Anolis sagrei: one gene and its partner. The protein of the gene in region 1 purifies or fractionates together with the protein of each later gene. This does not show direct contact. Links are inferred from orthologs where the notes say so. Each region holds a gene or a part of one and is shown on either strand. Other genes may lie near its edges.

Evidence for each region.
Region 2: the proteins of PARD6B (region 1) and LLGL2 purify together in Homo sapiens (affinity purification with mass spectrometry; 7 studies listed by BioGRID and IntAct, counting the BioPlex papers as one, with this or other methods). This does not show direct contact. The link is inferred for Anolis sagrei from reciprocal best matches to the Homo sapiens genes PARD6B and LLGL2.

The regions. Positions count from the first base shown.
Region 1 is NC_090024.1:222,694,588-222,705,937, forward strand, and holds the start of PARD6B (partitioning defective 6 homolog beta), read left to right. Parts: upstream 1-6,638; 5' UTR 6,639-6,779; coding exon 6,780-6,848; intron 6,849-11,350. UniProt on the Homo sapiens protein: Adapter protein involved in asymmetrical cell division and cell polarization processes. Probably involved in formation of epithelial tight junctions.
Region 2 is NC_090022.1:117,841,708-117,853,359, forward strand, and holds the start of LLGL2 (LLGL scribble cell polarity complex component 2), read left to right. Parts: upstream 1-6,466; 5' UTR 6,467-6,568; intron 6,569-6,686; exon of another isoform or gene 6,687-6,804; intron 6,805-11,652. UniProt on the Homo sapiens protein: Part of a complex with GPSM2/LGN, PRKCI/aPKC and PARD6B/Par-6, which may ensure the correct organization and orientation of bipolar spindles for normal cell division.

The DNA of each region.
Region 1 (11,350 bases):
GCTATAATCCAACATAAGCTTACTTTCTTATTTCAGTAAAAGAAATAGAATCAAGCTTGGTTATCTTTGCCAGTTCAGCTGTGGCATGCTGGAAAGTCTCCCTTAGATGTTTTCTGAAATAGCAACTAATGACTGCATCACACAAAGACTTTAGTCCGTGAATGCTTTATGCTTCAAGATGAGTCTCAAGAAGACTCTGTTGTCTTTGCTGCCAACATACTAACTCAACTACTCCTCCCTTTGGAAGCCAATTAAGATAGCTGTTCATTGCTGCTAACACTCAAAAATGACATTTGCGGCAGTGGAATGCAAACCATTTAATGCTGTACACAATGATAACTCTACAAAGCCAGAGGCTCATGGTGGTGAGGTGGCACATGCCAGAACATTCAGTCTCCACCCAAAAAGGCTAGTCATTCAGCACTCAGAAAATATTTATTTTCTAAGTTCTTATATGGACATAAATCAAGGGTAGGAATTGAGTAACCCTCTAAAATGGTGATTCCCAAATTCTATTTTAGATTTCAGTTCCCTACCATCTCACACAATTTAGTCAATGGTCAAACATTCTGGGAACTGAAGTTCAAAACATGAGGAGGCCCAGAGGTAGGGAATCGCTGACCTAGATGTTATTGCACTGCACTCACAGAAGCCCTAATCAGCCTAATCAATGGTGTGGAACGCTGGGAGTTGCAGTCCTTTAACTGGCATACTTTCCACAACTGGTGTGCTTACTCTGGAACTCATTGCGTGTACTTTTGAATAAATATGGACAGAATTTACAGCTACAACACCCTGGTTTTGAAATGCTTTCCTCTTGCAGACCCAAATGGCACCAACCTTGTCCTTATTTCAGTGCCAAGTTAAACCCAGACTAGGTATTAGAGCAGCATTTCTCAACCTGGGGGTTGGGACCCCTGGGGGGGGGGTCATGATGGGGTTTCAGAGGGGTTGCCAAAGACCATCAGAAAACATATTTCTGATAGTCTTAGGAACGCCTTTGGCAGAGAAGGCTGAAAGTCTCTCCACCTGTCCTTCTCTTCCTTTTTTGGAAACAGACGTGGAATTCCTTTTTGGAAACAGACGTGGTGAGAGAAAACAAGTGAGGCTGGAGTCCCTTCAAGGCATGGGGGTTCTGTGTGGAAAGTTTGGCCCAATTCTATTGTTTGTGGGATTCAGAATGGTCTTTGATTGTAGGTGAATGATAAATCCCAGCAATGACAACTCCCAAATGTCAAGGTCTACCCCCCCCCCCCCCCCCAAACATCACCAGTGTTCAGATTTGGGCATATTGAGTATTCATGCCAAGTTTGCTCCAGATCCATCATTGTTTGAGTCCACAGTGCTCTCTGGATATAGGTGAACTACAACTCCAAACTCAAGGTCAATGCCCACCAAACTCTTCCAACATTTTCTGTTGGTCATGGGAATTCTGTGTGCCAAGTTTGGTTCAATTCCATCATTGGTGGAGTTCAGAATGCTCTTTCATTGTAGGTTAACTATAAATCCCAGCAACTAAAACTCTCAAATGACAAAACCAATCCCCCAACAACTCCACCAGTATTCAAATTTGGGTGTATCGGGTATTTGTGCCAAATTTCGTCTAGTGAGTGAAAATACATCCTGCATATTAGGTATTTACATTATGATTCATAACAGTAGCAAAAATGACAGTTATGAAGTAGCAATGAAAATAATGTTATGTTTGGGGGTCACCAAAACATGAGGAACTGTATTAAGGGGTCGCAGCATTAGGAAGGTTGAGAAACACTGCATTAGAGACTTGATAAGATCAAGATTTGTTTTTCAATGTATTACTCTTGGTAGACTAATTTTTGAGTTGTCAATTTTCAAAACAGAAAGTGCTTCAGAAATGTCATTCAAATGTTATAGTTTGATTTGATTTGTTATACCATACTCTGAAATCTGCTTATATATCGGGTAAAGTAGAAATATGTACATAAACAAATGGCACTTTAAAATGAAATCTTTTCATGGTATGTTTTTATTTTGCAATGCAATCCTACAAGTGTCCATCACAAAGAAAATCCCATTATGGTTAATATGACTCACACCTAAATAAGTGGTACAGGATTTCAGATTTGTATATAAAATGCTCAAATTATGCAATAGAAATATAGCCTTCTTCTTACAAGTCCTGGGTTACTTTAGAATGGTACATGTTCGCATTAAATTTAAAAAGCACGTTTCCTCATCTGGCTCTGAACAGGTCGGCAGAAACAGAACATTCCTTTCTTTGGGGGCAGAAAAAAAACCTTTGAGCAAAGTCTGACTCACAGGTTTTGCAGAGCTTGTGACTAAAATAGCTCACTAATCTTGTGCTTTCCCCAGGAAAGAAGACCTGCCTGTTTCTTTACTATCTGAACTTGCTTCCTTTCCTTGGTTGACTACAGTACCAAGTCATTTGTGTGATGTTGGGCAACCGATGATTAATATTTTTGAAGAGGTGAGGTCCCAAGATTTCTGCCTTATGAATGTACCTTGCTGACTTCAAGCAACCTTTCGGGCACACCCTCCTTATCTGGAACTCCAACCATGCGAAGAATGCAAGGGGGAGAAATAAACTTCCTTCATAGAAACCTAATAAACCTGGAGTGATAAAACCTTCCACATGATGAGTATAAGCACTCAGAGTTCAACTGAACGGCTTTTGCGTCTCAGAAGCAGGTCAATTCGACTGACATGAAAATCCTCTCCATGTGATCTGTATAGTTTGGGAAAGTTACTTTTTCGAACACTCCTGAAAAATGTAATAGACCTTTTGGACATATACACAGCTTACACATATGTATATTAATAGGCAACACATTCATATCCTAAGTATTCCTTCCACCCTATACTGAAAAATTATCAAAGAAATAACTGATTTGTATGTACAAATGAATTCCCAGTATACAAAACTATGTTCATTTTCAGCTTCAATATACCTATTGATTTTGATCCCTTCCACTTGTTTTTGTTTAGTTTTGATATATTTAAATAATTTGTTTGAGGTTAGAGTTCAAGACAAAAGATTTGAACTGTAAACAGGCCTGCCCTATCCATGGTTACACAGAAGTAAGTGTTGTGAGTTAATATAGTTCATTCCCAAACAGAATTACAGTCAAGAGTGCATCTATATTGCAGAATTAATGCATTTTGACACAACTTTAATTGATTTGGCTCAAGGCTATGGAATCCTGAGACTTGTAGTTCGGTGAGGTGCCAGAACTTTTTGGCACAGAAGATTAAACTCCTTGTAAAACTACAACTCTCAGAATTCCATATCATTGAGCAAAGGCTGTTATAGTGGTGTCAAACTGCATTATTTCCAGTGTAGATCCACCCTGATACACACTTGTGCCATCCAATTAAATGTTGTTGCCTTAGTGTTCACATAGATTCCCCATTAGTCCACCTGTCTTTTACTTGAAAGAAGAATATTTAAAGTGTTAAACCACGAGAAAGATTTCAAACTCTTTAGTCCAGCATAAATTTTGCAGCACACACTTCCAGACCCAAATGCATCTTCATTCACTGAATGACACGGGCGTGTCATTCAGTGAATGAAGATGCATTTGGGTTCATATATCTGTTTCCATAAGGAGACTTAGAAACACCTACATAAGAATTCAAAAGACTCTTTCTAAAAGTATTTCACAATTCAGCCTTTTATAGCAGACACAAAAAAACTGTCATAACAGTATTTTAAAGATTAACACTGTTTTCTTGAATTTCAGTAATAACTGGCTGATAAGCGTAATGAAATCAATAGGGTTTGCATCTGATAATCCACAAACGATTGCATTAGGAATTTGCTATTCCTCAGTCACTTTCAAATGTACCATTTATGTCTTTTCAAGCTGAAACAGACTAAAATACTTTTGGCTGTGAATAATGCCACAATAGGCCTAAAGTCATTTTTTAGTGTAAGTTCTACTTACTTTAATAAGATTACTCAAAATACAACTACCATATATCCAGCCCAATAAATAAAGAACAGTAGGCAGCAGCTGAGATGGAGAGAAATTACAAAGCATGTCCTCTATGACAAGGAATTGTTAAGGAATTAAAGATATGCAGATATATGCTAAAAAGTAATGGCTTCACAAAAGAACTGGTCTGTGAAAACACAAGTGTCCTAGATTTGTTCTATTAATTAACAACAACAGCAGCAGCAGAGCATACATCAATTGAAACTCAGATAGATAAACACTATACTTCTGGAGAAGTTTCAGATCAACTGTTTTAACAACATTGCCCCTTTGAATCTGTATTATTTAAAGAAGGAGCTTTTCAGATATTTATTTATCATATCAGAAGCAAGTAGAGGGTACAATTAGAATGTATTTAAAACACAAAGTTAAAAACTTGGCATTATACTAAGTCTTTTGACCAGAAGCTGGCCACTTGGAGTGCCTCCTAAAGGTGTCGCTGTAAGAAGGTCCTCCATTGTGCATGTGGCAGAGCTCTGGATGAATTGTAGTAAGTGGTCTGTGGTTTGCTCTTCTCTATACTCACATGTCATGGACTCCAATTTGTGACCTCATTTCTTAAGGTTGGCTCTGCATCTCGTGGTGCCAGAGCGCAGTCTGTTCAGCGCCTTCCAAGTCGCCCAGTCTTCTGTGTGCCGGGTGTGTGTGTGTGTGTGTGTGTGTCTCATCCAGTATCAGCCACAAATTGAGGTTCTGGGTAACTTTTCAGGTGATCTATGGAATAAACGGCGAGACTGAAATGTCTTCCCACTGGCTTCTAAATGTTGCCATTTCTGATATCAGATTCGTGTCCATTTTTTTGTTTAGAAACAGATTTATTCTGTGCAGGGCACAAGCTGGATCTATACTGCCATATAATTCAATTTGAACTTGCAAAATATGGTCAATGTAGATCCGTATAATGTAGTTCAATGCAGGACAATTGCATTATGTAGATCTACACATTGTGTGGATCCAGCCACTGCTGAAGGTCATAAAATGTGTCATGTTGGAAGAAAATCAAGTAAATTATCACCCTTGATGTTGTTTATCCTGTAACAATATTGTTTGAGTAGATATGGAGATGAAACCATAAACAGCCTTTTTAATCAGTAAACAAACTTTTTTTCATGAATTTCTTAGAATCATAGAGTTGGGAGAGACCATGTGGGCCATCCAATCCAACCCCTTGCCAAGAAGCAGGAAAATTGCATTCAAAGCACCCCCAACAGATGGTCATCCAGCCTCTCTTTAAAAGCCTCCAAAGAAGGAGTCTCCACCACACTCTGGGGCAAAGAGTTCCACTGCTGATCAGCTCTCATAGTTAGGAAGTTCTTCCCCATGTTCAGGTGGAATATCCTTTTCTGTAGTTTGAAGCCATTGTTCTGCGTCCTAGTCTCCAGGGAAGCAGAAAACAAGCTTGCTCCCTCCTCCCTATGACTTCCCCTCACATATTTATATGTGGCTATCATGTCTCCTTTTAGCCTTCTCTTCTTCAGGCTAAACATGCCCAGCTCTTCTTTCCCATCCCCAAAATACATTATTGAAGTATTCTTATTTTTTCTCTGAAGCACTTCAAGACTTTGGTTGGAACTCTTTTCAATTGAGATCACAAATTGTTACTAAAGTTAAAAGATTATAAATGCTGTAACTATTTAGAGTCATGTTTATTGTCATGAAGGAGCCCTCGGTGGCGCAGTGGGTTAAAGCGCTGAACTGCTGAGCTTGTTTACTGAAAGGTCGCAGGTTCAAATTCGGAGAGCGGTGTGAGCTTCTGTTGTCAGCCCCAGCTTCTACCAACCTAGCAGTTCGAAAACATGCAAATATGAGTAGATCAATAGGTAATGCTTCTGCAGGAAGGTAACAGTGCTCCATGCAGTCATGCTGGCCACATGACCTTGGAGGTGTCTACAGACAATGCCGGCCCTTCGGCTTAGAAATGGAGATGAGCACCACAACTGGACTTCATGTCAGGGGTAAACTTTTACCTTATTCTCATGAATGATGGGGCAACTCTGCAAAGAAAAACAATGCACTGTTTTTCTACGGATGAAAACTAATGGGTTTCCAAGGCTCTGAAAATCTGTTGCTCCAGTAACTAGGGATCCATCTGCACTATAGACTTAATGCAGTTTGATACTTCATTAAATGCCATGGCTCAGTGCTATGGAATCCTGGGAGTTGTAGTTTAACAAGCCCTCTCTACCAAGATACAACTACCAGGAGTCCATACCGGTGCCAAATTGCATTAATCCTACAATTAATCCTGCATTAACCGCCCTAAGTCCCATTGGGGAAAGAGGGTGGTATATAGATAAAGTTGTTGTTACAACGTAGTGCACCTTTCCATTGGAAAAAAAAACTATCAGCAGCCGCGCATGCGCCGTCCTCTCCCTTTCTTTGGAATCCAGCCCGGCAGGTATTTCTCTCCCTGCTGTCTAACACAACACCTCCTCCTTCCCTGTCCCAATGGCGCAGGCGCAGTCTGGATCCTGCCTTCCCTAGCAGGTGCCTTTCTTTTTTCTCTCCCTCTAAGAAGCAACAGGTGCGCATGCGCCTCCGGGGCTCGCAGGTGTGCAGGGGCTTTCCCCTCCTTGTGGTGGATCCGCGGGGCGGCTCCGCGTCCGCGCATGCGCGCTGCTTCCTCCTCCTCCTCCCCTCCTCCTCCTCCTCCTTGGAGCTGCAGGTGCCAGGAGGCGGCGGCTGGAGCTGCTGCGGCGCTGCTGCTCTCGGGCGGACCTTTCCCTTCCTCGGGATCGGCGGAGAAGGAGCCCCAGCTTCCAGTCCGAGCGACCCTCGGGCGGCATGAACCGGGTCCAGCGGGGAGGAGGCGGAGGAAGCCGCGGCCTCGGCCCCATGGAAGTCAAGAGCAAGGTGCGTTCCGCCTCCCCCTTGCTCCCATTGGGCGGGATCGGGGGCTAAAGCGGGATTCGCGTCCACACTAGCGGGTGGCACGCGCTTCAAGGAAGGGTTGGAGACAGCCAGGGCCTTGTTTGTCCCCTTCGGTTGTCAGGGAAGCCGGTTGCTGTGTTTGGGAGGGAGCTTGTGTCGAATCTGGGGGGTTGGAGGGTGCTTTTGTTCTCCTCTTCCTTAAGTGCACAAGAGTGCCCCTGAGCATACGCAGAGAGGCTTCCACGCTGCGTCAGGACATCACTGAGGTTGTCTGATTGGGAAGTGGGTTTGTCGAATCAGGAAATGGTACTCCTTCTTCTTGAGTAGGCAAGAATGCATCTGGGCATGTGCAGAGAGCATTCATTCTGTCGATTCTGGAGTTGCCCAGCTTGGGAAGTGGTTTTGTCGAATCTGGGAACGGTTCTTCTGCTTCTTCGGAGGCAAGAGTGCTTCTGGGCATGTGCAGAGGGCATTCATTCTGTAGATTCTGGAGTTGCCCTGATGGGGAAGTGGTTTTGTCGAATCTGGGAACGGTTCTTCCATTTCTTCAGTAGGCAAGAATGCTTCTGGACATGTGCAGAGGGCATTCACTCTGGGGACTCTGGAGTTGCCGAGATTGGGAAGTGGTTTTGTCGAATCTGAGAATGGTTCCCCTTCATCTTCAGTAGGAAGGAGTGTTTCTGGGCATATGCAGAGGGCACTCAGCCTGGGGACTCTGAAGTTGCCCTGATTGGGAAGTGGTTTAGTCAAATCTGGAGATTTTTTGAGGACGCAAGATGCTTCTGGGCATGTGCAGAGGGCATTCACTCTGGGGACTCTGGAGTTGCCCTGACTGGGAAGTGGTTTAGTCAAATCTGGGAACGGTTCCCCTTCATCTTCAGTAGACAGGAGTGTTTCTGGGCATATGCAGAGGGTATTCACTCTGGGGACTCAGGAGTTGCCCTGATTGGGAAGTGGTTTAGTCGAATCTGGAGGTTTTTTGAGAACACAAGAGTGTTTCTGGGCATGTGCAGAGGGCATTCACTCTGGGGACTCTGGAGTTGCCCAGATTGGGAAGTGGTTTTGTCGAATCTGGGAAAAGTTCCCCTTCATATTCAGTAGGCAGGAGTGTTTCTGGGCATATGCAGAGGGCACTCAACTCTGGGGACCCTGGAGTTGCCCATGCTTCTGGGCATGTACAGAGGGCATTCACTCTGGGTAGCCATGGTCATTCGCTAACACCACACTTTTTCATGCACACAGGACATGCAGGAACTCTGTGAGTCCACTTAGAACTCACAGCCACACTTACAATCCCAATACTTATTTTCCTAGAAATAATAATAATAGAAGTAAATATGGGATTAAAAAGGCAAACTTGGGCCTTTTGGGTGTTTTGGACTCCAACTCCCACCATTCCTAACAGCCTCAAACCCTTTCCTTTTCCCCCTCAGCCGCTTAAGCAGCTGAGGGGGGAAAGGAAAGGGCCCGAGGCTGTTAGGAATGGTGGGAGTTGGAGTCCAAAACACCCAAAAGGCCCAAGTTTGCCCATGCCTGGGTTAAACCTATGATGAGAAGGAAATACATTACTATATGTCTTCTGAGGGCATAAGCACCCAAAAAGTACCAAACTCTGGACTGATCTTGGAAGCTAAGCAGGGTCAGCCCTGGCTGTTTCTTGGCTGGGAGACTGCCGATGGACTCTATTTCAGAGGAAGGAAGTGGCAAAAAGAGCTCTGACTATTCTTTGCCTTTGAAAACCCTATGAAATCCAATGGGTGGCTGTAAGTCTGGTCTTAGAGCAGGCATGGGTAAACTTGGGCCCTCCTGATGTTTTGGACTTCAAGGCCCACAGTTCCTAACAGGAGCCCCCGGTTCGAATCCGGGGAGACTGCAGATGAGCTCCCTCTGTCAGCTCCAGCTCCCCATGCAGGGACATGAGAGAAGCCTCCCAAAAGGATGGTAAAACATCAAAACATCCGAGCATCCCCTGGGCAACATCCTTGCAGATAGTCAATTCTCTCACACCAGAAGCGATTTGCAGTCTCTCAAGTCGCTCCTGACATGGGAAAAAAAGTTCCTAACAGTTAGGAATTGTGGGAGTTGAAGTCCAAAATACCGGGAGCGCTCAAGTTTGGCCATGCCAGCCTTAGATGCTAATCAGGGACAGCCATGGTTAGCACTTGGATGGAAAAGAGCCCCCGGTGGCGCAGTGGGTTAAACCCCTGTGTCGGCAGAACTCAAGACCCGACAGGTCACAGGTTTGGACCCGGGGAGAGGCAGATGAGCTCCCTCTATCAGCTCCAGCTTCTCATACGGGGACATGAGAGAAGCCTACCACAAGGATGATAAAAACATCAAATCCAGACGTCCCCTGGGCAACATCCTTGCAGATGGCCAGTTCTCTCACACCAAAAGCGACTTGCAGTTTCTCAAGTAGCTCCTGACACGACATAAAACAAAAAAAAACTTGGATGGGAGACTACCAGGTGCTGTAGGCTATATTTCAGATTGAGGAACTGGGCCAAAACCACCTCTGAGTTTGCTTAAGAAAGCCCTATTGAAATGCATGGGGTCTCCATAAGTGGACAGATGACCTGAAGGCATATACACACCCACATCTATCTATCTATTTATCTATCTATCTAATAGGTGAACAGGTAACCTGAAGGCACATACACGCCCACATCTATCTCTCTCTTTTCTGCTTTCTGGGTGAGGTGAGGTGAGAGATCGAGCCAAGTATCCCTAGAATCACTTCCTCCTATCAACAACACTTCTAGGTTCTTGTGGGTTTTTTCGTGCTATGGAGCCATGTTCTAGAGGCATTTCTCCTGACGTTTCGCCTGCATCTATGGCAAGCATCCTCAGAGGTGTGAGGTCTGTTGGAAGTAGGAAAAATGAGTTTATATATCTGTGGAATGGCTGGGGTGGGGCAAGGAGCTCTTCCCTGCTGCAGTTAGGTGTGAATGTTTAGCTGATCACACTTCTGCTGATGGCCTTATTTTTCTTTTCTGTCTCTAATAGCATGTTCAGTGACATTTGTTTTATGACGGAAGGAACATGAGCTTGAAGGCGAGGTAGTAATTTTCTTCTGGAATAACATTGGGCAACAAGGGAGAATTGGATGAGTGTTGTGGGGTGGGCGGAACGGACATATTATGGAGAATCACTAGCACAGTGGTGCTCAACCTTCCTAATGCTGTGACCCCTTAATAGAGTTCCTCATGTTGTGGTGACCCCCCAACCATAACATTATTTTCATTGCTACATCATAAGTGTAAGTTTGTTACTGTTATGAATTGTAATGCAAATATCTGATATGCAGGATGTATTTTCATTCACTGGACCAAATTTGGCACAAATACCCAATGACGTCCACATTTGAATACTAGGCCTGTCGGTTTCGTTTCGTTAATTCGTTAATTCGTATTAAAATCGTTATTTTTTGCATATCCGAAGCGATATCAAAACATATTTTTAAACCCGGAAGGGTTTAAAAATATCGAAGCAGCAGCCCCATGTATTTTACGAGCTGAAGCTCCGCTCGTTAATTGCATGGAGGCTGCTGCTGAGCGCGCCATCCGGCTCTGGCTCCTCCTCTTCCTCCGGAGCCCATTGGATGGCGCGCGCGCGCTCACAAGCGGCCTCCGCGCGCCATCCAATGGGCTCCTGCGCCCCCCTCCTCCTCCTCCTCCTCCTCCTCTTCCTCCCAGCTGGGAGGAAGAGGAGGAGGAGGAGGAGGAGGAGGGGGGCGCCGGAGCCCATTGGATGGCGCGCGCGCGCTCACAAGCGGCCTCCGCGCGCCATCCGGCTCTGGCTCCGGCGCCCCCCTCCTCCTCCTCCTCCTCCTCTTCCTCCCACCTGGGAGGAAGAGGAGGAGGAGGAGGAGGAGGAGGGGGGCGCCGGAGCCCATTGGATGGCGCGCGCGGGCTCACAAGCGGCCTCCGCGCGCCATCCGGCTCTGGCTCCGGCGCCCCCCTCCTCCTCCTCCTCCTCCTCCTCTTCCTCCCACCTGGGAGGAAGAGGAGGAGGAGGAGGAGGAGGAGGGGGGCGCCGGAGCCCATTGGATGGCGCGCGCGGGCTCACAAGCGGCCTCCGCGCGCCATCCGGCTTGTGTGACTTTTCAGGGCTGTATGACCATGTTCCAGAAGCATTCTCTCCTGACATTTTGCCCACATCTATGGCAGGCATCCTCAGAGGTCTGTTGGAAACTAGGCAAATGGTGAGTTATATATCATCTAATATTATCTATGGAATGTCCAGGGTGGGAGAAAGCCATTCAATGCTAATCAAGGTGACCATTACTGCAACATTCACACTTAGCCTGTTTGATCAAGAAAAATTTTTTTTCAAAAATGTTTTGTAAATAATAACGAAAATTCGTAAATAACAAAACATTTTTTTTGAAAGTTTTGTAAATATTTTTAATATCGAAACAAAAAAACACCCCAATTAAGAATCGAATTTAGAAACAAATTTTTTCTTGATCAAACAGGCCTATT
Region 2 (11,652 bases), on another chromosome or scaffold:
TTTCAGATGGCCTTTAATGTTTAAAAATCGTACCTCAATTCCCACCTGCATAATAAAGGCTTAGGCAACATCTGAAATACACTTACCCAATTTTTTTTAACAAATCAGCATCAAATGTACATCATACAGAAAACTGGAGTGCATCTGTACTATCAAATTAATGCAGTTTGATTCTACTTTAACTGCAATGATTCAATGCTGTGGAGTTGTTGTTTGGTGAAGCACGACAGCAAACATAAATGAACTTGGATCCCATACATAAAATACCTCATTATCTGCATGTAGACAGTATTCCAAAATGTGTGTATGTGGGTGGGTGAGGGCAAAATTTGAAACACTTTTGATTCCAGGCATTTTGAATAAGGAATACTCAACCTGTATTTACAATGTATGCCAAGGGTTCTGCAAGTACAATTCAGCAAAGCTTTGCAGGAAAAAATTTTGGGGGGGGGGGGGGAGTATGGGGACAAACAGACAACCAAAGAGCAAATTTTGATTTTACTATAGGTTGAGCACTTCTCTGATGTGTAAGCATACCTGCTGTAGTATCCCACTATTCATAAATCCTCAGGCTCTCTTCAGCAGTCATTAGAATTGTCTGTCATTTTACATAAGGGTTCCATTTTACTATGTCATTGTATATAATGAGACTTTTTACTTTTTCTACCTCCACAACATGAGATCAGTGTGTTTTGCCTGAAGCTGGAGATTAATTCCAGTTTAACACCTGTGATTTATATTTTCAAAAATAGGGAGACACAATTGCTAAATGTCACATTTCCCAACAGTCTTCACTGCAAAGTGATAACATCTGTGGGAGTCTAATCCATTTAAATCAGTTTGACTGTGCCAGATTTCATTTAAAAGCTTTGACTGTACAGACGTTCCTGTTTCAGCATCCCTTGTCTTCCTCAGAGTGTCTGCTCACTATTTTGGTTGGTTCTAATTCAGGGAAAGCATGAATGTGGTTTGTGACTTTTTTATCCTTATGGAGCAACATGGCTTAACTTTGCTCTATTTTTAGAATAAGTAGAATCATGGAATTCAAAGATCAAGAGTTTGGAAGCCAAACCTACAAGGAGCACCTTAGGAAGCTGGGTCTATTTACTTTAGAGAAAAGAGGACAGGATAGCCATGTTTAAATATTGAAAAAGGATGTCAATTGAAGGGGAATGGGCAAGCTTGTTTCCTGCTGCTTTGGAGACTAGGAAATGAAGCAACGGATTCAAACTGCAAAAAAAAAATCAATCTAAACATTAGGAAGAACTTCCTGGCAAGCAGTGGAATGGGCTAGTGCCTCGGAGTGTAGTGGAGTCTCGTTCTATTAATGTTTTTAAACAGAGGGTGGATGGCCATCTGCTGGGGATGCTCTGATTATGTATTCTTGCCTGGCACAGGGTTGGACTGGATGATCTTTAGGATGTCTTCCACTTCTGATTCTATTAATATAGAAGAATACAAATACTCAAGAACATATCTATTTCGGAATAAAAAAAATATGTGGGTATTCACATCATATTTGTAAACACTCATCCTTTTTTAAAAAAAGTTATTATGAAGCCAGAAAATTTGAAATTTTAGCTACCTGGCAGATACCATAAGCCGCTCCAAACCCTTTAGAAGAGATGGTGCAGGATACAAATAAAGTATTATTATTATTATTATTATTATTACCGAGAAAAATAACCTGGCAAGTTCCACTAACCACGAATGTCCCGAGATGAGAAATCAGGATCTCACTGGCATAAAGACAAAAGACAGAAGCTTGAGGCTGGGAATTTCTCACACTGCAACAAAGGCTCAAAGTGTGTAAGTGTACAGAATATGGAAAAGGCAAATAACTTTATATACATAGAATACCCACTTGAAATTCCCTCCCAGCCCTCTGATTGGTCCATGCAAAAAAGCCAGTGGCGTTTTCCTGACCCCTGATTGATCAGGGGGCGGGACCTTGCCGGCTTGCTCTCTGATTGGTCAGGGAGGTGGTGATGTGGTTGGGATTCCCCACCCAGCTAGGTGGAGAAGCCCTGGGGCCTCCAATGGTGAGGCAAGGGAGGGCTCTGGGCAGACATGGCGATGTTAATGAAAGTGTGGAAAACTGAATGAGGGGATTATGTGGGAATCGAGTCCAGGATTCAGGAACAATGGTGACTTGCCAGACCCAAGTACTCTCCTAGGAGGGAGACAATGACAAAGTCCAGTATGTCAATGTGAGACTTGAGTGGATCATCTGTGTCTCCTCCTAGGTCATTGTCTCATGATTGGTGTCCATCTCTCAGAGGGAAGCTTCAGGTGGCTGTTTGTCGGGAAGGGTCTTTGTCACCTTGATGGTTATCCAAAACTGGCCGCGGGCTGGGAGGGATCCTGGAGTGAAGATGTTCAGAGTTTATTGGAATACGCTTCAGTTTTACCTTCAAAGTTTATAATTTCATAAATAAATACCGATGAAAAGAGAATGTGTCTTATTTCATACATGTTTAGAGGCGGGAGAGGGTTGATTGCCTTATTTTTGTTATATGATGTGATGTGCACATGTGCAGGTTTGCAGTGGGAAAAATAATAAAAAGAAAATAGTTATAGATAGTGGGGCGAAGTGGAGGAGAAAGCAATGAAGTCTAGCGAGGGAGGAAGAGAGATATAGTGTATCTCTGGCAGTGAGGCAGGTTGATACTCTGTGGCACCAGCCATTGCTGGCTTCCCTGGGCTCTGGTTGTGCGCTGCTCCAGAAAGATCCCAGTAAACCAGCTGAGTTGGCAGGGTTTTTGGAAAATGGGGGTTATGCGTCGCTGATCAGGAGTGCTTAGGTGCAACTGGGGAGACTCAGTGAGGTGAGGGCCATGGCAACTCATGGAGGCCCTCCGCCCCCAGGAAACTACAACTCCCGCAGATACTGCATTTCCATGGTGGTGGTGGTGGTGGTGGTGGGGGGGGGGATTGGTGTTTGACAACAAAGCCATCAGTAAAAAAATAGCTTTGGCTTTGTGCAGACAGGAGGATGGAGGAAATAAGCCCAACATGTCTTCTAGTAATCCAGTACCTTAATATTTCTATCCCCATCCAATTTATTTGTAAAGAATCCACTTTATGTTGGTCAAACAGGGATCACCTTCCTGACAGTACAGTAAATAAAAAATCCTCAACGTTGGAATAAATCATATGCACTCCTTGGAAGTAGTCCAGTAAAAAACTACTTATTAACTGGGTGTCTTACCAAACCAAATATCAGTCATCCCTTCAATTTGGAGACAGAATGACAGATCAGGAGAGTGTTTGTATCCAGGGACACGGGCAAAATTATTATCAAACCAGAAGAAGGATTTATGCAGGCTTTCTGGAGTTTCCAGTTTTGTGTTGCTTAACAATGTGTTCTGTACTACAGAGCAGTGTCACAAAACAGGTGAAGGAGGACAGGTCCCACCCTGGGATTTAGTTTCAGTTCTTGCTCAGCCATCACAGGGGCCTCAGTGAGCAGCTTGCTAGGGAAAAAGAAGAAAGAAAGAAAAGAAACAAGGACTAGATGAAAGAGACAGGAAATCCCCTGGGGTTAAATTCACAATCTCTGTAATTCAGCTGAAACTAAATCTATTGGCTCATATTTCTTCTGATACTTTGCCCGGCACACATTGACTGCTTCTCCTGAGCTATGACTCACATCTCAATTACAAATCAACTGGTTCTGTGCAATTCCCCTTCTGAAGTCGGATAATATGGAAGAAATAACACATCACAACCTGGTGCAGATGTATTAAAGGCTAATGTTTTAAATGCAATGCCACAAAGAATGGCACCTTTTGGAGAAATTAGTCCTTGTTTTCTTTGTATTGTTTACTTCCAGTTGCCAGAGTGAGAGTGTTCCTGTGCCTTTAATGCTTGTGTAGAAGAGGACATTTTGGTGGATGTTGAATGTCAGACAAGCAGGTAAGAAGGTGACATACTCTGTTTTGCTCTGCACAACCATTTAAGGTCCAGGAGTCTTTCCAGTTTCACTCTGCCAACCCTTGTATTACCGTGTATTAACTACAGCCCGTGTGGTTACTAACTAAAAATATCCTCACACAATAGTTGTCACTGAATAATAGTCACACGCCCATTTTTAGGGTGGGAAATTAGTATTTTTCTGTTCCTCACAATAAGTGCACCTTTTATTCACTTGCCTGCACATCTGCTTGGGCGAGTGAAGGAAGGGTGCAACTCACCCATGTGCCTGCTTCCTTGGAGAGATGGGGTTTCACTTGGCTGGTGAAGCTCCAAGTGAAACCCCATAGTTGTAAATGGGGCAGGCATGTAGGCAGGGGAAGCTTCACTCGACCACACACCTGCCCCCTTTCTAGCTACAGGGCTTCACTTGTCTGGCAGCCAAGTGAAGCCCCATAGCTGGAAATTTTTTCACCCTGTAATAGTTGCCACAATGTAATAGTCACAAAAAAGCAAAAAAGGTGAGAAAAGTGTGACTATTATGCAGTGAAATATGGTACTTTTAAAAATATACTAAACTAGCTTATATACCTGGCATTCCCAGGTGTTGATGGTACCACTGCCTGTCTACTTTCTCCCTTCTTCAGCTCTGAAAAGGCTATTTCACAATGTTTCCCTTTTCTTTCTCCCCCACTCCCTCCTATCATTGCCTTTCCTTTCTTTATTCTCTTTCTTTCTTTCTGCTCGTAATTGTGTCCCCTTTCTTTCCGAGTGACATCACAGAGGACACCTTTATATAGCCACAAACAATCCAGTGACATCACAAAGGGCCACTTCACCTAATAACCTCCTTTGTGGTACAAATGGAAAAATATGCATGCATACATATATACTTTGAAATATATACAGAGAGAAACGATGATTATGATCATGGTTAAACAAATGATAGGTCTCCCGCCTTCATTCACTGAGGCTTGCAACCTTTAATCTGAATTTGTTTACTCAACCATAGATCCTATCAAATGATGTAGTTTACTTCCTGGTATGCCTCTTATTGTTGTAATAGTCCTTTTCAAAACATTTTGTGTCCAGTCGTAGCCTAAAGGTACACTTGAAGTTTGTTCCTTTAGTTCCTGGTAGGATAACATATCTCATGCTCTTGTCACCACAAAGTTCACAAAAAAGTTTCTTGCATGAATAGGAAGCTGTTTTGTGACACCTTTAAAGGCTAATAATAAAGCTGTTTCCTGCATGGGATGATGAAAGAAACATCATTGGCACCGATAATTATTACCTGTTAAAGATTTGTCGGCTTTGAGGGGGAGATGGAAGAAATAGGCAATGATTCCACTGAGTCACAACTACAAATATTTTCTTGTCACTGTGACCCACATTGGCCCCATGTATGCTGCCATATAATGCAGCTTGACACTGCATTTTATGGCAATGTAGATGGGGCCATAGCTATACCCACATTTAATTAATGTAGTGGAGCACTGACTTCTAAAAGCTACCCTGGAAAATGAAATTCTCCCTTCATGTTTAGAATAAGAAGCATCGTTCAGTTAGGATCCCATGGGGCATTCTTTGGCTCTCTAAGGGACCCCTACAATACGGCTTAGCTTCTGCCAGCCTAGCAGTTTGAAAACATGCAAATGTGAGTAGATGAATAGCTACTGCTCCAGAAGGAAGGTAACGGTGCTCCATGCAGTCATGCCAGCCACATGACTTTGGAGGCGTCTACGGACAACACCAGCGCTTCGGCTTAGAAATGGTGACAAGCACTAACCCCCAGAGTCAGACATGACTAGACAATGTCAGGGGAAAACCTTTACCTTTTCTTTTTCTGCTCCAGAAATAAGGCCGCAGCACAAAAATTAGAAGAGAGGAAATACAATTTGATTTTGAAACTAATGCAGAACTTGGGTTTGGGTCTTAACAGTCAATTGGCTTAAAATGGGGTGGGCAGAATATAGAGAGAGCTAGTATAGTGGCTTAAGGATGCATCTACACGGAAGAATTGATGCATATTGACACCATTAACTGTCATGTAGTTTTGCAAGGTCTGTAGCCTTCTCTGCTGCTGCTAAGTATTGGGAAATCACCAAACTCCCTGGATCCTATCGCATGGCAGTAAAGTAGTGTCAGAAAGAATTAATGATGGGGTTTTTGTAAGTTAAAGATTAACTGTATGGCCATGTTCCAGAAGCATTTTCTCCTGACGTTTCGCCTGCATCTATGGCAGGCATGCTCATTACAGTGTAGTGTGAAAAATACACCCCCTACTCTCCCCTCCCCTCCCCATTGGCTCAGAAGGAGCATGCACTTCTGATTCCAATTCTCCCTTCCTCTCCCCCCCCCCCCCCCCGCTCCCTCTGCTCTTTTTCTATTGGCCAGAGCTAAAGAGTGAGAGATAGAAGAGAAAGGCGGAGGAAGAAGGAGGAGGAGGGGGGGGGGTATGAGCTCTGACTCCCGATTGGCTGCGGTGAATAATGACTCAGGAGCCGGGTTGAAAGAAGGCGCCGCGCTAACCCCGCCCTTTCGCCGGGGCTCATTTGCATATCCGGCGGGAACGCCCCCTCCCGGAGGTATCCAGGAAGGCGAGGCGGCGGCGCTGCTGCTGCTGCTGCTGCTCGAAGGGCGAGATTGTGCGGTAAGCAACGAGATATGGAGAGCCGGAGGAAGGGGGGGGGGGGAGAGAGAGAAAGGAGAGGGTGGGCGTGGAAATAGGGCCAAGGCTGCAAGTAAGGGGGTGGGGTTGGGAGGGAGAGAAAGAGAGAGATCGAGGGAGAGAGAAAGAAAGAAAGAAAAGGGAAGAGGCAAGCTTTCCTTCCTTCCTTCCTTCCTTCCTTGTGGGGTGGGGTTACAGCTTTGCCTCCCTGCTGGAAGGTAAGTTTGCAGCCGGGCTTTGCTGAAGTGTGTGTTTTGGGGAGGGTATGGGAACAGATTTGGGGTGCTTCTCTTTTGACCTCAAGTATGAGGGGGATGGGGTAGAAGGCCAGGGTTTGGGGGAGGGGGGCTGTCTGGAGCCTGACACTTGCTGTGTACTCCAATCAGCTCTCTTGTTAGGATCTGATTGAGGGTGCATCCACACTGCTGAATGAATGCACTTTGATACCACTTTAACTACCATGGTTCAATGCTTTGGGATCCAGGGAGTTGTGGTTTCATTAGGTCTGTAGCCTTCTCTGCCAGAGAGTGCTGGGCTTCATCAAACTACAGCTCCCAGGATTCCATAGCATTGTGGCATAGCAATTAAACTGGTGCTGGACCGCATTAATTCAACAGTGTAGACCAGGCATGGGCAAACTTGGGCCCTCCATGTATTTTGGATTTCAACTCCCACAATTCCTGTTAGGAATTGTGGGAGTTGGAGTCCAAAACACCTGGAGGGCCTAAGTTTGCCCATGCCTGGTGTAGATGCACTCGCAAACACTAGGACACAAGAGTTTTTGGGTGGATGGGGTTGGATCTGACAGTATCTCAGGTTGGATGAGGCTTTGCTAAAGGTGAGGGTGGGCCGACCTTGGGGAGCCTGCCATTGTGGGCTGAGAGACTTACCTGGGTGAAAGGAACTAGTTCCAGGTGTTAGGTTTCCGGGTGTGGTGCGGCCTTTCTGGTGCTTTGTTCGCCTGGCCTTGCAGTGTGGCTTGAAACCGAAGGTATTCTGGGAGGTGGTTTGCTCTTCTCCCTATAAGGACACTTTTGTTTGCACAGGTGCCAGGGTGAGCAGCAAAGCAAGGCTATAACCTCGCTCCCCGTGGCTATTATTTGTTTCAGGTTGCTCTCTTTTTTTCCTTAATGCCACTTTATGAGTTGACGAAGGCCAAGGTAGTCATTTGGCATAAAAGTGCTTCCTTTTGTAAGCTTGCTTGAATAGAATAAAAGTGCTTGGCAGAAAGCAGACAATGATCTTGCCACAAGACAGAGATTTGAGGGTTAATTTATGCAATGAGAGAAAGCCAATGCTTTGGCACATTTAGGGTGCATCTATACAGTAAGATTAAAACTTCTATACAGTAAGAGGCGCCTTCTTTGGAGTCTTTAAACAGAGGCTGGATGGCCATCTATCGGGGGTGCTTTGAATTCAATTTCCCTGCTTCTTGGCAGAATGGGGTTGGACTGGATGGCCCACAAGGTCTCTTCCAACTCTATGATTCTATAAAACAGTTTGATCCCACTTTTAACTGCCATGATTCAATGCTATGGAATTGTGGATGTTGTAGTTTGGCGAGGCACCAGTACTCTAACAGAGAAAGCTATAGATCTTTTAAAACTAGCTATGGCAGTTGAAGTGGGGTCAAACTGCATTAATTCTATAGTGTAGATGTATCCTTGATCGAGATAGTTCTGAAGTTGGGTTGCTGTGAGTTTTCCAGGCAGTATGGCCATGTTCCAGGAGCATTCCCCCCTGATGTTTCACCCACATCTACGGCAGGCATCCTCAGAGGTTATGAAGTCTGCTAGAAACTAGGCCAGTGAGGTTTATATATCTGTGGAATGTCCAGGTTGGGAGAAAGAACTCTTGTCTGCTTGAGGCAAGTGTGAATGTTGCAATTGGCCAGCTTGATTAGCATTGAATAGCCTGGCAGCTTCAAAGCCTGGCTGTTTCCTGCCTGTGGTATCCTTTTTTGGGAGGTGTTAGCTGGCCCTGATTGTTTCCTGTCTGAAATTCCCTGTTTTTTGACTGTTGCTCTTTATTTGATGTCATGGAGTTTTTAATACAGGCAACCAGTTCTTAAGTTGTAAAAAGCTATCCTGAATTAAGTAGCTATTCTTTATGGAGATGACTGTCGTTCACAAACTGAACCAGGTTTGACTTAAATTAAAGCCTGAGGAAATTTATCTTTGGGCTATAACAACTTGAATTTATCTTCCAGAAAACAATTTCTATAACCTGACGGGATGGGGCATTCTGGGAGTTGTAGTACAAAAATAACTTTGCTGAAGTTGGTTTGATGTAATGACTGCCTCTGCTGATAAGCCTGAGGCAAACTGAAACCTCCATGCAATCTTTTAGCAATTTGAATCGACAGAACTCCCTGCCTAATAAAGGGGCTTGTCTTGTTGAGTTTCGACTACTGAAAATGGCCTTGCTACACCCCCTGAGGCAAAGCAAAGCAGGAAGCTAACAAAATCCCACACCTAAAGGCTTGTAAACTCCTTTCCTGCTTTTCTTGGAGTCTTATTTGGAGGCAGAGCATCCAAACTACAGTTTCTAATGCAAGCGGGATTCTTCAGACAGTAAAGGATTGTTGGCTGAAATAGGGACATTGTTGGAGGAAGGGCAACACATTACCAGGTCTCATTTATTCCAGCCTGTTTTGGTGAAAACTGGATCCCTTTGAAATACTTTCCCTTATTGTTGGGAATAAATCCCTCTGTGGTTGTCTTATTAATAGTCTTTCACCAGGTTTTCATTCCCAGGCTCAGACAATGGCTTATTATTCTAGATCAATGACTTGCTTCCTTTGCCCTTCACCTCTACCTGTTCTGCTGTGAAAATGGTTGTCATCTTTGCCTTTGAGGGACAGCAGACGGCCATGCAATTCTGCCTTCCCCAATCATAGGGCTGGAGATTGTGCAGCCCCCTTGGTGAACTTGGAGTTCAGCTCCCAGCATCCCTGATAAATTCACTCAGAAGTATTGAATGCTGGGAGCTACAGTTACACAACATAGTTCTCATCCTCAACCATCCAGGTATCTCGAGAGGTGTTAAACTAAAAATCTTATGGGTTTTTGTGAGTTTTCCAGATTGTATGGCCATGTTCCAGAAGCATTATCTCCTGTTGTTTCACCTGCATTTATGGCAGGCAGCCTCAGAGGTCACAACCTCTGAGGATGCCTTCCATAGATTCAGGCAAAATGTCAGGAGAGAATGCTTCTGGAACATGACCATACAGTCTGTAAAACTCACAAAAACCCAGTGATACTGGACGTGAAAGTCTTTGACAATACATTAATAATCCTATGTTTGTTGGGGTAGAATGGAGGTTATAATATAACACATCTGGAGGACACTGTGTTGGGGAAGCTTGGTGTATCATTTATGTCTACTCTCCTGATGACACTTATGTCCATAGGACTTTCTTAAATAATGCTTATTTACTTTTGATAGCAGAAATTTAAATGTTATTAAGAGCCCGTGTAGATACCTATTTAACATACATCAGGCATGTTTTGCATCATAGAAGTTCCTAGATGATGACACTTAGGGTTGTGAGAACTTTACCTTGTATCATTAGCAGTGCAAATAGCTTCCATTTTTCTGACTACTTTCCATTATATATATGTACACACATTCTAGTTACTGCATTTATTATTGCAATTTACCCAAAATGTAATACAATTGTCTGGTTGCAGGCCCGTAGCCAGGATTTCATTTCGGGGGGGGGGGGGGGGGCTGAATTTTTTTTCAGGGGGGGTTTCGGGGGGGCCTGAGTTTCGGGGGGGGGGCTGAGTCTGAGTGAAAGAAGGTCTAGCCTAGCAAACCTTTTGTATCATTACCCCAATACCCCCATGCATATGGAATATGTTGAGTATGGTGATCAGATCATGATATGAATAAACATAACAGTTTAAATAATGCACCATTAAGGCCTTTTCGCGAACCACCATGAAAATTTCGGGGGGGGGGGGGGCTGAAGCCCCCCGAGCCCCTCCCCTGGCTACATGCCTGTCTGGTTGATACTGACACGATAAATAAATAAATAACCCCAAATGATAGTAAATTCCTTTCTGATACAGCATTGGTCTCAGTGGATGGATCTACACTGCCATATAATCGAGATTATCAAAACAGATAATCCAGATTATCTGCTTTGAACTGGATTGTATGAGTCTACACTGCCATTTACTCCAGTTCAAAGCAGATAATCTGGACTGACAGTATAGATGTGGCCTGTGTCAAAAACTATAAAGTCTGATTTGTCCCATCATAAATAGTCTTTTTTGTTATCCACCCTTTTTCCTTATCCTTAAACTGAATTTCATATTGTGCAGTTTCTTTGTAGAGCTAATATTCACATTCCATATTGTTTATTGTAAAAAAAAAAAGTCTGCTGCTGTTTAGCTTTAGTAGCACTAATGTGTCTCATATGCTCACAGATCAAACCCCGAAGGGTACACTGTTAAAATAATATGGCTAACTTTTCAATAAATAGGTCTTGTATGGGAGTGTGGGACTATATGCCCAGAAGGGATGATCCATATAGAATTAATGCAGTTGGACACCACTTTAACTGCAATGGATCAATGTTATGGTATCATGGGAGCTGTCATTTTATAAAGTTTTAGCTTTCTCAGACGAAGAGTGCTAATGCCTCACAAACTACAAATCCCAGGATTCAACAGAATTGAACTATGGCAGTTGAAGTGGTGCCAGTTCGCATTAATACTACTGTGTAGATTCACCCTAAAATTCCACATTGTTCATACCCACAACATGATATGATTAGTATACCACTAAATATAAATGAAAGTATTTCCTATAATACGTTGTCAAAGGCTTTCATGGCCGAAATCACCAGAGTGTTGTGTGGTTTCCGAGCTGTATGGTGTGTTCTAGCAGCATTTTCTTCTAATGTTTCATCTGCATCTGTGGCTGGTTTTTCAGAGGGTCATTCTCTGAAGATGCCAGCCAGCCACAGATGCAGGTTTATTTTATGTATTTATCGTGTCATCAGCAACCAGACATTTGTATTACTTTTTTAACAAACACAAACAAACAAGCAGACA